Arabidopsis thaliana: one gene and its partners. The protein of the gene in region 1 interacts with the protein of each later gene in a pairwise test. Each region holds a gene or a part of one and is shown in the gene's direction. Other genes may lie near its edges.

Evidence for each region.
Region 2: the proteins of AT3G54120 (region 1) and SWAP70 interact in a two-hybrid assay, tested with the Arabidopsis thaliana proteins (one large-scale study listed by BioGRID).
Region 3: the proteins of AT3G54120 (region 1) and LCV1 interact in a two-hybrid assay, tested with the Arabidopsis thaliana proteins (one large-scale study listed by BioGRID).
Region 4: the proteins of AT3G54120 (region 1) and ATFP8 interact in a two-hybrid assay, tested with the Arabidopsis thaliana proteins (one large-scale study listed by BioGRID).

The regions. Positions count from the first base shown.
Region 1 is NC_003074.8:20,040,037-20,044,461, reverse strand, and holds AT3G54120 (Reticulon family protein), read left to right. Parts: upstream 1-2,121; 5' UTR 2,122-2,328; coding exon 2,329-2,398; intron 2,399-2,500; coding exon 2,501-2,681; intron 2,682-2,745; coding exon 2,746-2,957; intron 2,958-3,044; coding exon 3,045-3,193; 3' UTR 3,194-3,336; downstream 3,337-4,425. Other genes in the region: AT3G54130 (Josephin family protein), read left to right, coding at 33-287, 980-1,567; PUMP1 (plant uncoupling mitochondrial protein 1), read right to left, coding at 3,466-3,510, 3,615-3,701, 3,785-3,862, 3,946-4,050, 4,142-4,240, 4,323-4,425.
Region 2 is NC_003071.7:13,141,951-13,148,551, reverse strand, and holds SWAP70 (Pleckstrin homology (PH) domain-containing protein), read left to right. Parts: upstream 1-2,491; 5' UTR 2,492-2,833; coding exon 2,834-2,857; intron 2,858-2,969; coding exon 2,970-3,077; intron 3,078-3,284; coding exon 3,285-3,346; intron 3,347-3,438; coding exon 3,439-3,522; intron 3,523-3,616; coding exon 3,617-3,648; intron 3,649-3,756; coding exon 3,757-3,838; intron 3,839-4,100; coding exon 4,101-4,329; intron 4,330-4,570; coding exon 4,571-4,798; intron 4,799-4,880; coding exon 4,881-5,173; coding exon of another isoform or gene 5,174-5,177; exon of another isoform or gene 5,178-5,253; coding exon 5,254-5,626; 3' UTR 5,627-5,887; downstream 5,888-6,601. Other genes in the region: AT2G30890 (Cytochrome b561/ferric reductase transmembrane protein family), read right to left, coding at 154-321, 650-778; GSTF10 (glutathione S-transferase PHI 10), read right to left, coding at 6,160-6,601.
Region 3 is NC_003071.7:8,689,639-8,694,895, reverse strand, and holds LCV1 (uncharacterized protein), read left to right. Parts: upstream 1-2,405; 5' UTR 2,406-2,661; coding exon 2,662-2,790; intron 2,791-3,138; coding exon 3,139-3,191; intron 3,192-3,267; coding exon 3,268-3,377; intron 3,378-3,459; coding exon 3,460-3,627; intron 3,628-3,716; coding exon 3,717-3,814; intron 3,815-3,955; coding exon 3,956-4,082; intron 4,083-4,196; coding exon 4,197-4,282; 3' UTR 4,283-4,603; downstream 4,604-5,257. Other genes in the region: RPT2b (AAA-type ATPase family protein), read right to left, coding at 59-142, 236-376, 468-684, 789-958, 1,361-1,606, 1,687-2,160.
Region 4 is NC_003074.8:3,708,137-3,713,789, reverse strand, and holds ATFP8 (Ras-related small GTP-binding family protein), read left to right. Parts: upstream 1-2,172; 5' UTR 2,173-2,392; coding exon 2,393-2,406; intron 2,407-2,487; coding exon 2,488-2,560; intron 2,561-2,672; coding exon 2,673-2,720; intron 2,721-2,804; coding exon 2,805-2,852; intron 2,853-2,925; coding exon 2,926-2,997; intron 2,998-3,189; coding exon 3,190-3,345; intron 3,346-3,678; coding exon 3,679-3,782; intron 3,783-4,197; coding exon 4,198-4,300; 3' UTR 4,301-4,659; downstream 4,660-5,653. Other genes in the region: AT3G11740 (LURP-one-like protein (DUF567)), read right to left, coding at 401-544, 648-878, 1,154-1,363; AT3G11720 (Polyketide cyclase/dehydrase and lipid transport superfamily protein), read left to right, coding at 5,069-5,109, 5,190-5,288, 5,458-5,597. UniProt on the Arabidopsis thaliana protein: Protein transport. Regulator of membrane traffic from the Golgi apparatus towards the endoplasmic reticulum (ER).

The DNA.
Region 1 (4,425 bases):
AGTGAATTTTGATATTCAAATCTTAATCGGCGATGGAACGAACAAGCAACGGAGGAATGTTGTATCACGAGGTTCAAGAGTCAAATCTGTGCGCCGTACACTGCGTCAACACGGTGTTGCAAGGGCCTTTCTTCTCTGAATTCGATTTGGCTGCCGTCGCCGCCGATCTAGACGGGAAGGAGCGTCAGGTTATGCTTGAAGGTGCTGCCGTTGGAGGTTTTGCTCCCGGCGATTTCTTAGCTGAAGAGTCGCACAATGTTTCCCTCGGCGGCGATTTTAGTATCCAGGTACGAATTCGCGATGAAATTGATAAATCTTGAGTTGCATTCAACATTTATATATTGTAAAGCCTTTTTGTTATTGTGTTGTTGGAAGTTTAGGCAAAATTAGGGTTTCGATTTTATGGTGCTTTTGATTGCTGTGTTTATGCTGAAGTGATAAACTTTTGAATGGTTGGATTCGTTTTTAGATAGATTCAAGAAGAATTGAGATCAGTAATGGTGTGAATTTGCGATCTTTACTTTGGGTTAAAACTCATTTGTTGAAGGCTAGTTTCATTGTGCGAACATTGCTATGCTGATAAATGGAGGAACTTGAGATGATTTTTTTTATCTTGGGACTCAATTGTTTTGGATATGTTAGTTATTAGTGAGGTTCTGTATATTCAATTATCATCTTTTGTTTCTTGGATAGCTTTAAACCGAGTTGGTTGATAACTTGATATTTGATTAGGTTGCTACAAAAGTCAGGTTTGATTGCAAGATTTATGTATTGAGATTCAAGGGTATAGTATGGTGTTTTACATCACATTTTTAGATATCTAAAATTAAAGCTATTTTAACGGATTACGTTGAAGTTGGATGCGGATAAAACACTGCAAACAGAGGGTTTATGCGATTGGTGTAGCATTTTAATCTTGCAAAGTTGATCTAGTCTTTGCTTATTCGTTTAACTGAGAATGCTTCTGTTTGATTGACAGGTCTTGCAAAAAGCTTTGGAAGTGTGGGATCTACAAGTAATTCCACTCAATTGTCCAGATGCAGAGCCTGCGCAGATAGACCCTGAGCTTGAAAGCGCCTTTATCTGCCACTTGCATGACCATTGGTTTTGTATAAGGAAAGTGAATGGCGAATGGTATAACTTTGATAGTCTCCTTGCTGCCCCGCAACATTTATCGAAGTTCTACCTTTCTGCGTTCTTAGACTCTCTCAAAGGCGCAGGATGGAGTATCTTCATAGTGAAAGGAAACTTCCCTCAGGAATGTCCCATGTCGTCTTCTTCTGAAGCTTCCAATAGTTTCGGGCAGTGGCTTTCTCCTGAAGACGCAGAGAGAATAAGAAAGAACACGAGCTCAGGTTCTTCTGCCAGAAACAAGAGAAGTAATGACAATGTTAATCAACAAAGACGGAATCAGGCATTGTCACGTGAGGAAGTGCAGGCTTTTTCAGAGATGGAAGATGATGACTTGAAGGCAGCAATTGCAGCAAGTTTGCTTGATGCTTCTGCTGCTGAGGCCAATCTCGGAGCTGTGGGCACTTCTGAAAAGGAAACTGAGAAACAAAAGTAGCAGAGAAAATAGAGAACAAGTGTTATTGATGGAGGTGGTGGGATATTCACTTTTGTTTCTTTGTTTTGGTTTGTTATCAAGAGTTATCAACAATTTTACATACAGAACAGAGAAAGAAAAAAGCTTACATCGAAAGATAGAAAACAGAGGATAATAAATGGTTTGTGGAATTGTTTTTGTTTGATTTTTTTACCATATTAAATTCTTCTGACAATCTTAAATTGAGGATAAAGATTCGACCTTTTCGAATTCATAGGAAACTACATCTGAAAAGGGTACATAAATTACTTCAGTTGACTAAAAGTAGATGAATGACCAATTTAAATGTGTTCTATGGAAAATATAAAAGGATGGTGTAAAATTTGATTCATCTCTAAGTACAATCTGGCGAACTTTTACAGTTTGAAAAAAACAAGAAGGATAACACTTTTAGGCTGGAAATAAAAACATCGAGAGGACAACAAACACCTTCTTTTTCCCTAAACAGAGCATAGCCTTTGAATTATTAATTAATTATTTGTATATTCAAAGTTGATGGCTTTGATGATGATGGTGATGACCCAACTTTAGTCTCTTCTTCACTTTTTATTTTTACTTTCTTTGTGATACATCAGGTTCCTTCGATTCGAGCCTTTAGGATTTCCTTTCACATAATGATCTGTTTCTGACATTCAGAGAAAGATATACATATCTGGGTTACTTTTGGGATCTGATCATCTGAGGAAATCTGAATCCAAGTTTGCTCTGATCTTTCTTCTCAAATGAGTTCTTCTTCGGACAAGTTGTTCAACAGAGACAGGACAATACATGAGATTCTGGGAGGAGGCATTGGTTAGTGAATACATTTCTTTACCAAATCCAAAACTTATAAAAGCTAGGTGATCTCTCACCTCTATAGCCTTTTTTTTTTCTTGTTATGAAATGAATCTGCAGTTGCAGATGTGATGCTGTGGAGGAAGAAGAATGTGAGTGTTGGTATAGTTACAGTGACAATAGCTTCATGGATGGTGTTTGAGGCATTTGCTTACACTATCTTTACTCTTATTTCAAGTGTTCTTCTTCTCTTGCTCTCTATTCTCTTCCTCTGGTCCAAATCTGCTTCCATTCTCAACAGGTATATTAATATTCACTTGTAACTAATATTACTTCATTTCTGATTCAATTTCTTGGCTCTTCAGGCCATCACCGCCGTTACCGGAGTTTCAAATAAGTGAAGCGATGGCGGAAGAAGCTTCGATATGGTTACGTATTCATGTGAACAAGCTACTCCAAGTTTCGCATGACATTGCAATGGCAAGAGACTCAGAGTTGTATACCAAAGTAGCAGTGTCACTGTTTCTTCTCTCATTGATCGGAAGTCTCATGGATTTTCAGACACTTTGCCACACCAGTAAGTAGATATTCTAAAACTCCTATAGACTTGGAATGCTTTTGAGCTGGATATTCATTTTGTGGTTGTTCTTGGTTAATTTGGCAGGCGTTTTGGTGGTTATGACGGTTCCAGCTTTCTATGAGAGATATGAGGATTACATTGTTGGCTCTATTGAGTTTATCTGCAACAAAACTAGAGAGCTTTACCTTAGACTCGAGATATGGGCTAATCCGGAAAATAAGAAACTGAGCTGAGATGCTGTCACCTCTTTCTTCTTCAGGAGTTTCTTTTTCTGATTTTTCTCGGTTTTGTGGAAAGAAAGGAGAAAAATGTATGATTTTTGATAAATGTTGGATGGTACAGCCAATATATGAGCAATCCACAGAAATTTTATTTCACAGTTTTACTCGAAAACTGAATCTCTATTCCGAAAACAATATTCGACCAAGTTCTGGCCTCTCTCAATCACCGAAAATGAAGAAGAAAACAATGTTGCTCTTATTCCCTCTGCTTAAAACTATGTGTCTCAGTTTCTTTTGGACGCATCGAGTTCCCGGACATACTTCTTTGCCTGGATTAGAGTATTAAGAACCCGGATTAGAAAATGAGAAAGAAGACTTTGCGTGACCGATTCGAATGCGATTGCGATAAAATAAAAATTCTATCAGTTGTTACCTGTTCGAGGGTCAAAAACATGATTACGTTCCATGAGCCAAGGCGTCCAAAGTTGGGGATGAAACCCTTGTAAAATGCCATAGGACCCTGTAGAGGAAACCGTAAAGAGTTTGTAACATTTTCTGGGTTATATCTAGAACAATGGAGGTATCAGAAGCAGAGTTGCTTACGTCGCTCTTCAGAGTTTTGACGAAGCAGTCAATGGTGCCCTTGTAAGCACCAGAATCTCCCATCATTCTTGACTTAACCTGCCACACAACAAGATTTAAGTAGACAATCAGGAAACGTGGTGAATAAACTCAAGGTTCAATGTCATGAGTAAATACTTTACCACGTCGACAGGAGAGCCGATGCAGACAGCAAAGAATCCTGCTCCCAGTCCAGATAGAATATGTGTGACAACGTTGTCAGTGAAACCCGGAATCTTCAAGATCGTCTGAACACAAAAAAAAAAAGGAATGTTGGTTGCTTCAAATATCAGGATCTCTTATTTAGAAAGAGAGACAGAGAACATATTAGTTTCATACCTCTTTCACTTGATCGTAACTCGCTAATTCAGCAGCATTGATAATAGCGTTTCTTGCTACGTTAGGTCCAAGACCAGTCCAAAGAGCTCGGACTCCTTCCTGTCAGAGCCACATTAATAAGATATGAAGTAGAGTTGAAGCAACTTATGCACAATCTCAACTTCCAAGTCGGGATAACTACCTGTCTCACAATTGTTGAATAAGCATTCAGCGCTCCAGAATACCGTCTTGGCGCACCTGCAGCTAGTTTTCCTTCGGCCTGAAGCCTAACTTTCACAAGATCA
Region 2 (6,601 bases), on another chromosome or scaffold:
ACTCTCCATCCACCTATCTTCTCGCACCGACCATTAAATTTCATTTTCAACTTATACAATACTTTCAACATACTTATGATTTAGTTTGTTGAATTGTAATATATATTTGATATATATAATTTAAATAAGAGAGCCAAGAAAAATGAAACATGCCTGAGAAGTGACATGAAGAAAGAAGAGTCGTCGAAGAGTGATTATAGGTTGGTCTTTGATAGACATTAATCTGATGGAGATTATACCAATTGGCATCAAAACACCCATCGCTGCCCAAAGCATAAAGCCATGCACTTTGATTTCGTACACAAGCTTTGGATTTAGTTTCTGTTCAAGAAAAATAAAAATAAGAGCTTCATACCAATATATATTCAGAGTTTTTGATTAAAGTTATTAACACGCAGGCATTTTATACAGAGAGTAGGAAAAAAAAACTATAACCTTTAAGCATCATGGAATAATAATATGTACATGACTTACATACATTATAATCATGCGATGATAAATAAACTCAATAGGTTATAAGATCAGAAACAAAGGAAATGCCTGGAGCTTCATTGTAAAGATTTATCAGCTATATCAATGAGATTATGAAGAGTTTGAGATTATTAGATTTTAATTAGGATAAGCGAGAGAGAAAGAAGAGCATACGAACCTCGGAGATAGGAGAAGTTTCGACTGGACCATTGACATCAATGGCCAAGCTTCTGGTGTTTTCTTGGGAGGAGCATAGGGGAAGGAGGAGGAAGAGGAGAGAGACTAAGAGTTGATGATGAATCTCCATGACTTCATGTGGTTTGAAGTTGAAACAATAAATACAAAGTTTAGAATTGATGATAATCAATTCATGAGTTCATTTCATAAGTATAACTGTTAAAGTTTGTGTGTATCTAGCTCTTTGTAAAGAATTGGATGACGGTATATATGGAACTTGAATACTTGATCCACTAGTTTCTTAGCTATAGATAGAAGAAGAGAAAAGAAAAGAAAAGTTTTAGAATTTGCTTTTAGAGTGTAAAGAAATGTGATAAAAAGAAAAAAAAAAAAAGTTAAGCTCGCAACTTTGTTATATAATATGGTTTTGCATGGAGGTTGATGGTTTATTTTACTAGTATCTCTGAATTTAAATGAAGAAAAGCAAGTGGAGGAATGGGCAATCGATTTGATATAACGAACTTCATTTTTGTCAATCTTAATTAGATGTTAATAATGATGTTTTATATCTAAAAAGGACTATATATATATAATTTGAGTATTGAATTTAATTAATGAATGTAAGAAAAAACAGAAGAATATTCAAGTGGATGTCACTATCTCTGCGACTCTACAGCACTTTTGGTTTTCTATGAAAAAAAAAAGAAGAAACTGAAACTGAAAATTCCTTAAGGTCAGATTCATCCAAAAGTAGAATTTTAATGGACTTTTATGTTTTGTGGAAGAATGTCAGATTTTGCAAGGGAAAGTGAGTCATGGCAGGTTGCACTAGCTCATAGACCACTAACAATATGTTACTGTCAACAAACATCATGATTTCACTATGGAAGGTATACATGAATGACCACATCACATGGATATATATTTTCTTATTTTCAAACACTAATCATAAGAACATACCAAATTTTAGATAAATGGTCAAACTTATAAATGTCAAAAGGTGTCCAAATTCTGTAGTATATTATATAGTAGAAGTTTCTTCTTATTTTGGAGATTGAATATAAAGGAGCCAAAAAAATATGGATTTTGATAGCTTCTTAGACGTTTCATTTAGGAAATATATGCATGGTTGGGTTGATGAGAATGCCATAGAAGTGAAAAACAAATGAGAAAATTCATACAAAAGGAATCTACATACGTAGAATAAAGCAAGAGGACCACTTCACGTTTTGCAGCTTTCCCACTTCAGTTAACCCCAAAATTGAATATTGTCTTGGCTTACATGTCTACTACTCTTTTGCTTTGATGCTTTTCAATCCATTTCTGTATCCCCAACAAGTTGTTGTGTTTCCTCCTCCTATGTAGTTATCAGCGCCTAGCTATTAAGGAAAGAGTATCATCATATCACATATGATTACTCAAATCTCATATATTATTGAATATTATGTTATGTACTTATATCATGTTTCATTACGACCATTAGGGAAGTTGTAGTACATTGAAAATCTTGAAGATTAAGAGAAAGTGTAAAGCTGTGTCTAACGCATCTATGTTTGAAGTCCCTGTGAACTAAGTGTCTAAGTCACCACTACCAAGCGTCGAAGCTAGTACGCAATATTTCACAATCTTGCACACATTTGAGATTAGTTGGGCAAAGTAAGAACTCTGCTCTCTCCTAAACGATTGGCTTGTTACAGCCCGGCCCATTGATGTTCCTTAGCCCATCGTTTATGTAAAGCTTCTCCCTTAACAAAGCCTACCTTCTACAGATCTACTTAATCATCCTCATAACCAAAAACAAAACAAAAGAATCATGTGATGACACCTCCACCGTCAGATCAAAAACCATAAAAATGAAGTGAACAAACAAAAAGTGAGAAACTCAAGAACCGGTTCATTTGACGAGTAAGCTGATCCAGTATCGTACCGACCGGTTAAGTTGATTTGATCGCGTTGAAAGAGTGAAGACAGATTCAACTGCAATTCCGCGAAACCAAACCTAACAGCATTTTTCTCCAATTCCTTCTTCTTCTTCTTCTTCTTCTGTAACCTCGTCTTCTTCAGCTTATACTCATAGCTATACCAAAGAAAACCTCTTAAAACCCTTCTTCTCTCGATCCATCGATCAGCAACAATTCACTTCTAATCGATCAAGAGCTTTCCGATCTCGTCGATCCCAATTAACATGGCTTCCAACGGCGCTTCTCCGGTCTTTTTCTCTCTTGATCTCTGTGTGCTACAATTTAGTCTCTTTCTTTTGGCTGCTTTTCTCATTCACACTCTTAAATTGACCCATTTTGTCAATTTCTGAAAATGCGCAGAGAATTGTTGATGCTACTGAGAACAGCTTGGATAAGATCAAGCGACAATTGGCATCTGGCTCTGGTCGGAACTTGCTACAAGGACCTCTTTTCAAGCGATCTGAAACTGTAAGTCCAATTTTTTTAAGTGAAAATGATCAAAACCAGTTTTTGCTTTATTGATTGGGATTTCTTAGTTAGCTCAAACTAAGAAGACTCTCTGATAGCTCACTATTAGATTTCTATAGCTTAAACAAGTCTTTTGGCCTGAAATGTCTTGGCTTATTCAAAGGTTCACAATGATAATATCTTTTGTTTGTGTTTATGTATGAATAGCTGAGAAAATGGAACGAACGATGGGTGATACTTGATCCAACAACAGGGAAAATGGAGTATAAGTGAGTTATATCAATTTGCTTATGTAGCTGCATTTGTGTGTAGACCACTTCATCATGGTTTTATTCATTTCTGATGTATTTCCATGACTCAGGACGAGGCGAAATGAGCCAACTATCAAGGGAACAATTTTGTTTGACGAAAATAGCACAATCTCCATCTCTCCTGTCAACTTCCAGTATGGATGCTACATTCTTTTTTTTGTTGCTCTGTATAATCATCATTATTTGGTGTCTGTTTGTATCATTGACTTTGTTTCTTTTGTGTTTCAGGGGGCTTCCAAAATATAATGGTTGCTGTATTTGTATCCTTGGTTTTAGTAAAATGTTGGCATATTTATAATTGTTTCTTTTGTCTATAAGGAGATAGTTGATTGGAATCTAGAGTTGAATTTTCTTCAACTTGATATAAGATATTGGTACCCCACAGAAGAAAGATTACTTTTTGTGTGCAGAGACTCCTGGTGCAGCTAAAGCTTGGGTCACAACCTTACAGTAAGTCATCTGGATCTTCATCTTTTTGTTTGCTTCTCTTTCTGTCCTTTTTATTTACTTACCATTCTCTAGAGAAGCCACCCCGCTTATTTCATCTATCTTAAATAATTCATAGTTGTGTTGATTTAATGGTTTCGTCGTCGACCATGTTGAAAGAATCATCTTTCTCTCTCTTTTTACGTTTCTTACTGAAAATGTAATACCTTCTAAATGCCCCTCAAAAGCCAATCTGATAAACCTTATCTTTCTTTGTTCGTTCCAGTGCGACACAGCTAGTTCTAAAGGCCCATAAGGAGGCTGTCGAATCTCTAAGTGGAAGTGGTTCTGCAACACTTGGTACCGTTGCAACCGTTGTTGCCGCTGCCAATTCAACAGCATTGGAATGTTCCAGAGAAATTCAAGCAGCAATGCAGATCTCTTTGAGGAATGCATTGAAAATAACGCCAAATAAACCGATTGATGGACCACTAGATGATTTGACAATAATGAAGGTGTGGTATCTTTGCATCTCTCTTTCTCTTCGAATTTGGGAAACTTTTGTGAATAGCATATTGACATCCTTTGGCTGTTGAGATTCTGAAATGTCAAGATGAACGATGAAAGCATATAGGGACACCTTACAGGAAACTCTGCTTGTCAAGGATGAAAATTAACAGAATTAGCATAAATCTTATTCGTCCATCTTCATTCTAATGTCCAGGTTAACCTTATTGAGCCACTTACATCTTACAGGAAACTCTGCGTGTCAAAGATGAAGAATTACATAATTTAGCCAGGGAACTTCGTTCTCGTGACTCAATGATAAAGGAAATAGCAGATAAGCTATCTGAGACTGCTGAAGCAGCTGTAGCTGCAGCATCTGCTGCTCATACAATGGATGAACAAAGGAAAATCGTTTGTGTGGAATTTGAGCGCTTGACTACAGACTCACAGAGACAGCAAGAAGCCACAAAATTAAAGGTAATGAGGCCATGTCATATATAGATACTTTTGCATCCTTGTGTATGTTTTGTTGTTTATTTGATCTTTATCTCCTATGTAGCTCAAGGAATTGGAAGAGAAGACCTTTACTTTGAGTAAGGAAAAAGATCAATTGGTTAAGGAAAGAGACGCTGCTCTCCAAGAGGCACATATGTGGCGGTCTGAGCTTGGGAAAGCCAGAGAGCGTGTTGTCATACTTGAAGGAGCTGTTGTGAGGGCCGAAGAGAAAGTGAGGGTTGCAGAAGCAAGCGGTGAAGCAAAATCAAAAGAGGCTTCTCAGAGAGAAGCAACTGCTTGGACAGAGAAGCAAGAGCTTTTAGCATATGTGAATATGTTACAAACTCAGCTTCAAAGGTGAGCCTATCTGAATCTATCTCCCAGGGAAACTCATGACTTTTGAAGGGTCATAAATCTCTTTATTTTTGAATAAACAGGCAGCAACTAGAGACAAAGCAAGTGTGTGAGGAGAAGACTGAGTCTACTAACGGCGAAGCTTCTCTTCCAATGACAAAGGAAACAGAAAAGAATGTGGATAAAGCATGTCTGAGCATTTCAAGAACAGCCTCTATACCGGGAGAGAATGTAGTCCATATGAGTGAAGAGCAGGTAGTAAACGCTCAGCCTCCGGTGGGAGAAAACGAATGGAATGATATTCAGGCAACAGAGGCAAGAGTTTCTGATGTAAGAGAAATATCTGCAGAGACTGAACGGGACAGAAGAAACAGCTTGGATATCCCGGTAGTGTCTCCTGAACCTAACGTTCCACGCAATGATCCGCCTTCCGAATCATTTCATCACCAGCCTTGAATAAAGATTGGTAGATCTTCGTACATTTTAATATACTCTTTGATGGTCTGGTAATGTTTGGAGAGTTGATTCTTCTAACAACAAAAAGAATTTGTCTTTTTAGTTTTCTTGTACATTCAAGAGTTGTTATGTATCTGCCGCTCTTGAATTTGTCTGACTAGGGAATGATTCTTTTTCCCTTTTATTACAACATGAAGAACAGAGAGATATGTGTTAAACTTTGACTTATGTTTTTGGATTCATATAAACCAGTTTTCATATAAATGCAATCCTTCAACAAACCACGATGGTTGTGATGTTAGTACCAGTTTTATCAAAGACCTACACTGAATAGAGGAATATACATGGGTTGAGTCACTCTGATTTTAAACTCTTATTGAAAAGCTTGAAAAGTTACAGAATACAAGAAACCAGAGACAACAAATGAGACAGAGTTCCGTTTCTTATTGAAACAACAAGACAATCGACCCGAAAACGAACTCCCTCAAAGAACACAAAGCTCACACAAACCCCCCAAGTCAACATCTCCTTGTTTAAACAGGTAGTGAGTACTTAGCGGAAACCTCCTTCCACGCAGCACGGCTACTAATCTTATCCCACCAAGCGCTAACATGCTTCCTATCTTTGATCAAATGAGCCTTCCCAATAGGACCAACAAGATACTCGGTGAAAGGAAGGTGAGCCAAATCAGCTAGACTCACAAAATCACCAGCCAAGTATTCGTTCTTAGAAAGCTGAGCTTCATAGACATCAAGCACTTCTGCAAGCTTCTCTTCACTCTCCTTAATAACTTTCTCATCAGCAGGGAAACCCATAAGTGGTGCAAAGACAATGTTGAGCGTTAAAGCCAATAGTGGTGGATGGTAACTTGTAGCCTCAACGTCTAACCATTGCTCTACTTGTCCTCTCTCTTCAATAGTCTTCCCCAAAAGATCAGGTCCTTGTGATCTATACTTCTCTGCTATATACCTCATG
Region 3 (5,257 bases), on another chromosome or scaffold:
ACGGAGAAAAAGAGAGCAAACTCGAAAAAAGAGATTGAAACCAGTCGTTGTGCATCATTCACATGTAAAGACCTTCAGGAACTCCTTCTTTCTTCTTGAACATAACCTTCTCCTTCGCCTTCTTGAAGTCCACATGCGTCACCTAAACCAATAGAAGACCAAACAAAGGTTAAAGTAAAATTATTCAAAGATTGCGTTCGATGAATCAAGTGGTGAGAAGCCAGAGAATCCTTACTTTCATCCGACGCTCTCTAAGAGCAAGCAGACCAGCTTCTGTGCATATTGCCTTTATATCAGCTCCTGAGAACTCGTCTTTTGTCATTACAAACTCTTCTAAGTTCACATCTTCAGCCAAAGTCATCTTTGATGTGTGTATCTAATAATGGCATGCAATTAAAAACCGATCAGATCTTTCTAGAAAATTCACAAAAAAAGAAAGAAAACTTAAGGATCACCAGTTGTGGAACCTGGAAGATACGTCTTCTTGTTTTGATATCTGGAAGAGGGAATTCGATTTTCCTGTCGATCCGGCCTGGTCTAAGAAGTGCCGGGTCAAGACTCTCGATCCTGTTTGTCGCGAGAATAACCTTAACATCTCCTCTTGAATCAAACCCATCAAGCTGGTTCAGTAGTTCCAACATGGTTCTTTGGATTTCACGTTCCCCACCTGAGTTTGCGTCATACCTGTTTCAACCACCATTTTATATCACATATTAGATACCATCTCTTGAGCAAAATCAAGAACATTGTTTATCAATGGATCATGTTTATGTTGTATTTAGGCATACCGCTTGGTGCCAACAGCATCAATCTCGTCTATGAAAACAATAGAAGGAGAAAGGTCATCAGCAACCCTGAAAAGTTCCCTCACAAGCTTGGGACCATCTCCTAAATACTTCTGAATCAGTTCACTACCGACAACACGCAAGAAAGTAGCTGAAGTAGAATTTGCCACTGCCTGAAAGAATAACAAGAAATAACACTTGCTCATCTCCAACAGTTCCGAATTTAACAAGCATAAGAGACACATTAAAAAGAGGCACACTGCAACAATCCATGCTTGCGACATAGACAAAAAGAAAACGAAGACATTAAATCAATCCACGTGACTCTGAAAATCTTCCTCTATCTACACAAGTACTATGATCTAATATCTCAATTCTAGGTGATCAAACCAAAGAAGCCACTGTCCTGACTAATTCATCTTTCTAGTGAAGATTGATAAAAGACAGAAAATTTTGCATGCATGACTTGACATAAAACCAATCATACTTGGGAAGTACCATTATGTGCTGTATTAAGCAATTAACAACTAGAAAGCTTATTATATAATGGATACACTATAGGCTAAAAGACGAACCTTAGCAAGCAATGTCTTCCCAGTGCCTGGCTCACCATACAAGATCACACCTTTTGGTGGCTTAATTCCAATATCTTCATACAGCTCGGGATGTGTTAAAGGTAACTCAACAGCTTCCTTAATCTCCTGAATCTGAGCTTCTAAACCTCCAATGTCAGCATATGACTCCAAAGGAGCCTTCTCCACTTTCATCACAGACACCATTGGATCCACTTCATCTTGAAGAATCCCAACAACAGAGAGTACCTATCACAAAAATAATAAAAAATATCACATAGAAGAATTGGTTCAACGTTTCCATGGAAGAGCATTGTAAAACTCAATACCTTGTTATGCATCAAAATAGAGCAGCCAGGTTCAAGCTGATCCTTATCAACGAAAGACAAAATGCCAACGTAGTACTCAGGACCAACCGAAGAAGAAACAATGGCGTGATTCTCATCAATAAGCTCTTCAAGATTGCCAACACTCATAGGTGTACCACGAAGATCATCAACTTTAGATCTATCTTCCTCAGCTTTCTCTTCCTGAGGTTTCAATCTCTCCTGATTCGCTACGAACTCTTCCTCCATAAGCAAATAGTCCTTGATTCGCTCCAATTTCAGCAATCGAAGCTTACATTTAGTAGAAGGAGTCACCGTCGGCAATCTCGCCGCCGCTTCAGGTCCTTTCTGCTTCCGTTGCTTCCTCCCTACACGAGCAGGTGGTGCGGCTGGTTCGAACTTCTTCTCCTTCTTCTCTCCACCATCTGGTTTCCGATCTCCTTGCCGATTCAATCCGCCGGAAGGTCCTTGACCCATTGTGCTTCGTCTCTCTGAGGTTTCTTGCTCTCGGAGAAACAAATCTTTTAATCTGATAACGGGAGGAGATGATTAAAGTGGGCTTATTATTTTAGGCCTTTTTACGATGTGAAAAACTTAGTGGGCCTTAGGTATCGCAAATTTTTTTAAAACTGATTCAACCTAAGCTATTATCTGGTTTAGTTCAATAACTCGGTTTAATTATCTTTAATTTCGGTTTAAGTTTTGTAAAAGTCAATTCGTTGGTTTGGTAGTTGGTACGGTCAATCGGTACAGGTAAGGAACTTTTCTTTTGCCATTTGGGGAAATCGAATCAAAAATCAATTTCATCGTCTTCTCTATCTGTCATTCATCATCATCACAATCATCATCATCAAATCTCAGGATCTTCGAGGTGGTTCTTCTGTTTCGCAACTAGCTTCTAGATTGTGATTTACAATCTTCGAACTCTCGGTGAGTTTCTAGGTTTAGGGTTTTATCTCTCTTTACACGACAATTGTTATGGCCAATCGAGAAAGAGATCGAGAGCTTCTGATTCCCGTCGCTGATTTCGGCGACAAAGACGATGGTTCTTCTTCGAAGCCTTCTTCTTCTTCCTCTGCTTCTTCTTCGCATCAATCCGGCCACGAGGTCTAGTTTTTGTCACCTGATCTAAAAACGTGTTCTTCGTTTTCTCATTTCAAGATTCATGCGAAACTAACAGTAGAATTGGATGATAGTTATTCATAGATTTGGTCGATTCTGTCTCCCCTTAGTTCAAAATCTTGGAACTTGTTTTGCCCTAGATTCAGTATATCACAAGAACACTTGCTTAGATAAGTTTGGTAGTTGTGATTGAGTAGAGTATGAATTTGCATTCCAAGTTGTTGTGGTTGGAATCATTCAGATTCTTGAGTCTTTGTATTATGCTCATTCATGTTTTCAAGCATGTATAACTTATAGAGCATTGTGGCCTGATGCTTTAGCTCTTTTCTGCAGACTTTAAGCTTGTTCATTAGGGGTTGGGCGTCAAAGAAGTTCATGACAGGCTGGTAAGGAAGAGTTGAAATTTTGGCATTTGATGAAAACTTCCACAGATTAGTTTTAAGTCTCCATTGCTTTTTGCAGTGTTATCCTACTTCCTATTGCAGTTACTTTCTATACAACATGGTGGTTTATTCACTTTGTCGATGGATTCTTCTCTCCAATATATGCACTACTTGGAATCAACATATTTGGTAAGAATTTGAATGGCCCCTCTTTATCCTATTAACAACTTGATATCGGTTTCCCACAATGAGTTTGATTATTGTTTTGTAGGTTTCGGTTTTTTGACTTCCATTGCATTCATCTTCTTGGTTGGGGTGTTCATGTCTTCGTGGTTGGGGGCATCGGTTCTGAACTTGGGAGAGTGGTTTATCAAGCGGATGCCATTTGTTCGTCACATCTACAACGCCTCCAAGCAAATCAGCACTGCCATATCGCCTGGTCTAGCTTGCTTATAAAAATCTTGTTTTGCTTCTCAACATTAAGTTGATCTCCTATCTCATCTTGTTCTTATCCATTTCTCATCACAGATCAAAATACACAAGCTTTCAAGGAAGTTGCAATCATCAGGCATCCCCGTGTAGGTGAATATGCATTTGGCTTCATTACATCAACTGTTGTTCTCCAGGTGAGTGAAAATACTTTGCTCAAGGATTTTGTTATTCTTTCCAGAACGTCTCCTTGAGGATACAAACAATTTCGAGTTATATGGTTTACCATAATTTCGTAATCTTTTTACCCAATGTAATAATGCTATTCGTTCTTGCAGAACTACCCAACCGAGGAGGAACTTTGCTGTGTATACGTTCCCACGAACCACCTTTACATTGGAGATATACTACTTGTCAACAGTAATGACGTTATCAGGCCAAACCTCTCTGTCCGGGAAGGAATTGGTGAGATTTCAGAATCTAATTGTCTATACTAGATACATTTATCGTTTGTTATATAGCATTCAAATTATTTTGTGGAAAGATACTGAACACTGTATACTCATTCTTCATCTGCAGAGATTGTTGTTTCCGGGGGAATGTCAATGCCGCAGATTCTATCGACTCTTGATAAACCTTTGGCCTCGATTGGAAATGAATCTTAAAGTGACTATTCAAAAACCTTTGGCCGATCGATAGGAAAAAATAAAAAATCAGAAGAGACGTTTCACAAAATCTGAGCGAATAGAGAAACCAAAAAACACAGAAAAATTTGTCGAGAAGTGTAATTTGTCAATATTATTTGAATAACCTTGTTTTCTTTTAGCCCTTTTAAAAATAATTTTTTTTCTTTTCTTATAGATTATAATTTGTATCCGCGTCCTTGTGTCTTTCATATTACTGTCGCATTGACTTTATAACAAAAAGATAATCAAAGATAATCCCACCCTAATAATAATCACATGACAAATGGCAATATCGTTTTACATATTAGGGAATAGTATAAAATGTGGTATATATAGAGAGACATTGTTGATCGAAGAAAAAAATGGTCTAACATTTCTCTGTCTAGCTCTTCTTTTGATCTCAGGTACGTTTTGTTTCCAACATGTTACTAATTCTTATGGTGAAATAAAATACTGCAGCTAAAAATGTATCGACCAAAATTTTCTTAGAGGAGGATTGTGCTTAGCACCTGACCTAATTATGAATCTTCATTTCTCTGCCTTTGTAAACTTTAATTTATTTTAGAACTTTATCTCATATAGAAATCTCAAATATATATATATTATAGTTTTTGCTTAACTTTTATATTTAAAATAAATCTGAAAGTTGTAAGAAAATTATTTTCCATATCAGATTTAACATTGGGTGCAGTCTTGGGAAAATATATAATCGTTAGAATAATTTTCTCTTTTAATGTGATAATTCGAAGACGTATGTAACAAACAAAAATGACAATAATAAATATTACAGTATAAATCATTTAAAACATATACTATAATTAGTTATTTTTTGCTTAAATATGATGGAATTGTTTTGATATTGCTTAAGAATCAAAAATGTTTTACTCTAGATAATAAAATATTTATTGTAAAGTTTATTTTTACGATGAATGTATATGATTTCAAGTAGAACAA
Region 4 (5,653 bases), about 16 Mb from region 1:
TGGGGACAAGTAATGTTCCAATTCCTCATCATCACCCAACATGTTGCCATATTTAGATCCGAGTATGTTTTTTGACGCATCACTTTGGCATATCATTTCTTTATCCACCCCCATTTAGATTCTATTAAAGGAATCTCCAATGGCTGAAACTTCAGAGATGGTAAAACTAAGTTTTGAGACTTTTGATACCTGAAGATGTTTGTCTACCTCCACAAAAAAGTTTGGATTTGTCTTTCGCACATTTTCTTAAATACGGTTTCACTATTATAATGATATAAATTGATAGGCCTTGGTGAAATAAATCACTAAAAATATTGTAATAATTAACATATACTGTACTATGTTTTCGAGTATTATTTAGATTTGCAACGCACAAAAAGAAATTAGTTGATAACTTAATCTAGTCTTCTGAATCTTCTCGGTTAATGTCATCGAGGATTACAATGAGAGAAACTATAAAAGCAAAGTCAACATTCGGATAGACAGTAACCGAAAAATTACTCTTCCCAATTAATATGCTTTGTGCCGTATGTTTCTTGTGCATCTGAAAAAAACAACAAAACAACAACAATGACTCAATTAACACGATCATATAACTAGCTAGTCCGGTTTATACAATTTACAGACAATTTGATCAGTGTAATTACCTGAGCAACAATGGCATCAGATTTGCCGGCGTAGACGACACAAGACCGGTCGATCCAACTTCCTTTAACATGGAAGTCGCAAATCTTCATTTCTTTATTATGAGCCAAAAAGATGTCTAGTTTTGGCTTCATTATTTGAATCATTGAAGATCGTTTCAATGTGTATAATAGATCACTTTGGTCTGTACTCTTCCCTCTATATACTAGCCACCTATCATGCAAGCTCACCTTCTACAATTTTTATGTTATAAGAAAAAAAAGTTGTGGATCAGATTTTATTGGATGATCTATGACGATTTAACATACTCGAATGAGTGATGATGATTTTGATATTATTTACAATTAGTTGATAGACGTATTGAAAAAGTGTACCTCCATGCAAGTTATAAGAGCATGTTTGTGTATATATGATTTGCATAATGAAATTTTTTTTTTGTATCACCATGAAAAAATTGTGCCTCTCCATGCAAGTTATAAAGAATTGTAGTTGATAGACGTATACTTACATTTTCTCTCAAAGTCAAGATTGGAGTATCGTATGCGTCCAATAAAATCCTTTTGTCGCTGATGCTAAACAAAGGTTCCTTGACTTTGAAAAGGAGATTGCCGTTAACGTCCGTGACGGCGAAGTTACCATCGGTTAAAGTCATCACCTTCCGTACGATTCCCAACTCGATAGGGTACGGTGCACAGAAATTAGGGCTAACGATCGCCATCTTTTTGAAGATCTCTCTCTGTTTTTTTTTTCTCTTTTACGATTCTTGTATAAGGTGGAGATTTGTGTTCGTTTCTCAATCTTTTTAGTTATTTATAATTAGGATATTCCAAGTATTGTGTGAAACAAATCTTCGTGTTTTTAATTTTGTGTTTTTGGCTATATATGTTTTGTTTATTTTTAGAACTTATCTTATTTTAAATCTGCTAGCCAAGTTGCAAGCTGCAAACACGTTAGCGTTACTACACTTTTTTTTTTTGGTTATATAAAAAAAAATAGTTTGATGGAAAAAAAATATTATAAATTGAGGAAATATCTTCTTTTTTGCCAGAAAAGGAAATTAGAAGAAACGTAAAATTAGAAGGTAACTTTTGGTAGGATTAATATGACTTAATTAAAAATGATATGAATGGAGTATGAAAAAGAGAATGATTTTGTTGATAAAATATACTGTCATATAAAATTGGAAAATCCATGCATATTCAATCAAAGTTTTTCTTTTCTTTTTCAATATACCTTTTTAATCCGCTTTAAATACTTCATTATATTTAATTCCTCACATCTTGATCACGGATTATAAATCAAATTTATGTAAAATTATCTTCTCTAAAAAAATAAAAATAAAAATTGAGACATATACATGAGTAATAAAATCCAAACCTTTAATAACAGGGCCAGGACGTTAACGACGGTTAAGTTAGATAGACAAGATTTTGAGCTCGGCCCATTTATCAAAAAGCCCAAATAAGAAGACACACACACGTAAAGAAATCAGTGAGACAAGGTCAAAGCTTCTTTATTGTCTCGGGAAAAACAACAAGGAATTAAACAAATATTAAAAAAACTGGGAACAAAAAAATCCAGTAGAAGTCGTGGGGTTCAATGTTCATGTAAATTGATTGACACGCCCCCTAAACCCAAACCTCTCTTTTTTTTTGTTTCTTATATTATAGAGAAAAAGAGCTTTTTCCCGGAAAGTTGTTCTCATCTTGGAAAATCAAATCTCGGAAACGCAGTCTTCAGCTAAATCATGAGCAACGAGTAGTAAGTGTTTCTCTCCTCCTTGAGAGCCATTCTTTCGTTTTCGATTTTACTCACACCGATTTCGATTTTTTGTTGTTGTAGCGATTATCTGTTCAAGCTTTTGTTGATCGGTGACTCCTCTGTTGGAAAATCGTGTCTTCTTCTCCGATTCGCTGTGAGTTTGACTTGATTTTGATTCTTAATTGATTCCGTCGTCGAGAATTAGCTCGTGTTAGGTTTCTTCTTTTGTACTGTTTCGTGATTTTGGGATTTGTTGCTATTTCTAGGATGATGCTTACATTGACAGCTACATAAGCACCATTGGTGTTGACTTCGTAAGTTCATTCTTTGACCTTGTTTACATACATGATCGAGATTGTTTTATCCCAAACTTACTTATAATGTGGTTGGTTTTGCAGAAAATTAGGACGATTGAGCAGGATGGGAAGACGATTAAGCTGCAAATTGTGAGTTTTCAATTATATAATATGTTTTGGATGATTGTGTTTACTCAATTTTACTGTTGCTGCTCTCTTTTAGTGGGATACTGCTGGACAGGAGCGTTTCAGGACCATCACTAGCAGCTATTACAGAGGAGCTCATGGAATCATTGTGAGCAATCTTTATATTCGCTTTCTTACTTGCTTTTTTTTGGCTTACCTAGACTAGTGTTATGTCCCTATTTCCATTTCTCATTTTAAGTGGTTTAGTCTGAGATTGGTATTGTAATGTTGGAATATGAATCATTTTAATGTTGTAATCCACCCTTTAAGTGATGAACCTTAATGATGATAATTGCAACAGATTGTTTATGACTGTACTGAGATGGAAAGCTTCAACAATGTGAAGCAGTGGTTGAGTGAGATCGATAGATATGCCAATGAGAGTGTTTGCAAGCTTTTAATCGGTAACAAGAATGATATGGTTGAAAGCAAAGTTGTTTCCACCGAAACTGGAAGGGTAAGCTCACATCCCTAGTTAAGTTCCCAGCAATTTTTCCATTTATGATTTTGCTTCTATCTTATGCATAACATCCTTTGCATGGTACTTTCCCCTTTCCTCATTTGATCATTTCATGGTTTCGCATATCTTTAACCATGTGATGATATTACAACCATTGAGATTGTTATACCAGAATTTACGGCTATGAATGTAGATGATCTCTGACCAAATTCCCAAAGCTAGATGATCTGAATCCACCGAGTAGAAATTGCTTATTTTTGCAGCAGCTGTTACTCCTGATACAACTGTGAATTGGTTTTCTTACATTTCATCTACTCAAAATCACTGCAGGCCTTAGCAGATGAGCTTGGAATTCCCTTTCTTGAGACCAGTGCCAAGGATTCTATTAACGTTGAACAGGCATTCTTAACTATTGCTGGCGAGATAAAAAAGAAGTATGTTCACTATCTTTAATCTTTCGCCATAATTTTTTCTGCGAAGATTTAACATAGATTAGGTTTAGTAAACTTGTTCTATTACTATATTCCTTGATCACCATTATATACATCAAATCATTCTCTGTGTTTTTTTCTGCTGCAAAGCATCTTGATTCTCCACTGTTTTCATGAAATAAACTATTCATGTAAAGTTTCAAATCCGAAGTGTGCTATTCTAGACTTGATGACTAATGGAAAGCAAATCAACAAACTAACTGCTGTATCCTTGTAGCTTCCTCAAGCTTGTGTACTTAACTTCTGTTGATAGATTTTCCATATGGTTGATATCTTGTATCGACATTTGCTGATTCAGTCTAGTTTATGTAACATGGAGAATTGAGTCTAATCATATCGTAACTCATTTTCTTTGCAGAATGGGAAGCCAAACGAATGCAAACAAGACATCTGGTCCTGGAACTGTCCAAATGAAAGGTCAGCCAATCCAACAGAACAATGGCGGTTGCTGCGGTCAGTAGTTTAAAAAATGTTTTAATCAAAACTATCTGAGACTCTTTTTTTACTTCCTTTTTAACTAAGTGTTGTGAAAACCAATGGCTGTTTAAAACAACTAAGAAATGTAATATTCCATGTCGCTGTGTCTTGAATAAGCTATGGTGTTAGTTGCAAGATACTTCTCTTTAATATAGTTCAGTCTTGACTTTGACCACACAGGGATATGCAAGCAACTCATGGTTTTGAATTTTGATTGTGTATATATATTAAAAATAGTGATAGATATTCGTTGCTGTATAGGCTGGACCATGTTCATTACCATAGATATTTAAAACTTGCAGCTAAGTCCATAGAATGAGGAAAAGCAAAAACAACATATGAGAGATAAATCTCAATAATGTAAATGCTGAATTATATATACTTCAAAGATACGAGTCCAAATCAAATTCTTCCATTTTCTTACGCTAAAGTATACGGATTTCCAAAAGAAGATTTGTTCTATTTCGTTTACAACGCAATTCTAGTTTATAATAACTCATCATATACTCATGTGGTTTCAAAATACCCCAAATGCATGTTTTTCTAGAAACAATCAGTTTTCTGATTTTGATGAAATCAATCATACCTAGATTCATTCATTTACTCCCACAATTTTAGAAGAAAATCTCATTCCTGCACATCCTTATTTAAAAAATAAAATAAATCAAAAGTGATCTTATTTGTTTGTGTTTAAGTTTTATAAATTCATTTTTTTTTGTTTGAATGATAAAAAGACAGACAGGAAAGATCTCATGACAACGACAGTTAACCGACCTGGTCCCTCTAAAATAAAGTCTGACACAGACTCTCAAACTTTGTCAAATCCAATTCTTATTATTATTGGTAATGAGACTTTTTCTTCACATTCTCCAGATATGTATATTCCCGAGAAAATGAGGGAAAGTATCTTCTAATCGGGAAAAACATCTCCACGTTCCTTGCCCGTCTCGTAGGTTACGCATCAGCAGCTGGGTTTTGTCTGGCAAAACTATAACCAAAAGCTTCCTTTCTTATAAATTGCCTTACGTTTTAAGGTGTTCTCTTCTCACTTCTTCCCCATGATTCATCTTGACTCCACAAATTCAGGGCAATCTTTGATTCTCTTTGGTCTTTGATTTGAGGATTAATTTGTTTTCTAAAGGTGTCTGCTGATTCAATTGAGTATGGAGAAGAAACGAGATGTTTCTGAGTACAGAGAGAGACTTAATGAGACCTTGTCGTCTCCTGAGCTCATTAATGAGCAAACTCTTAAAACCCTAGTCAGAAAACAACTCAATGAAGGTTTTTCTTGTTGTTGATTTGCTATATACTCTTTAATTTTGCCTTTGCTACAATGT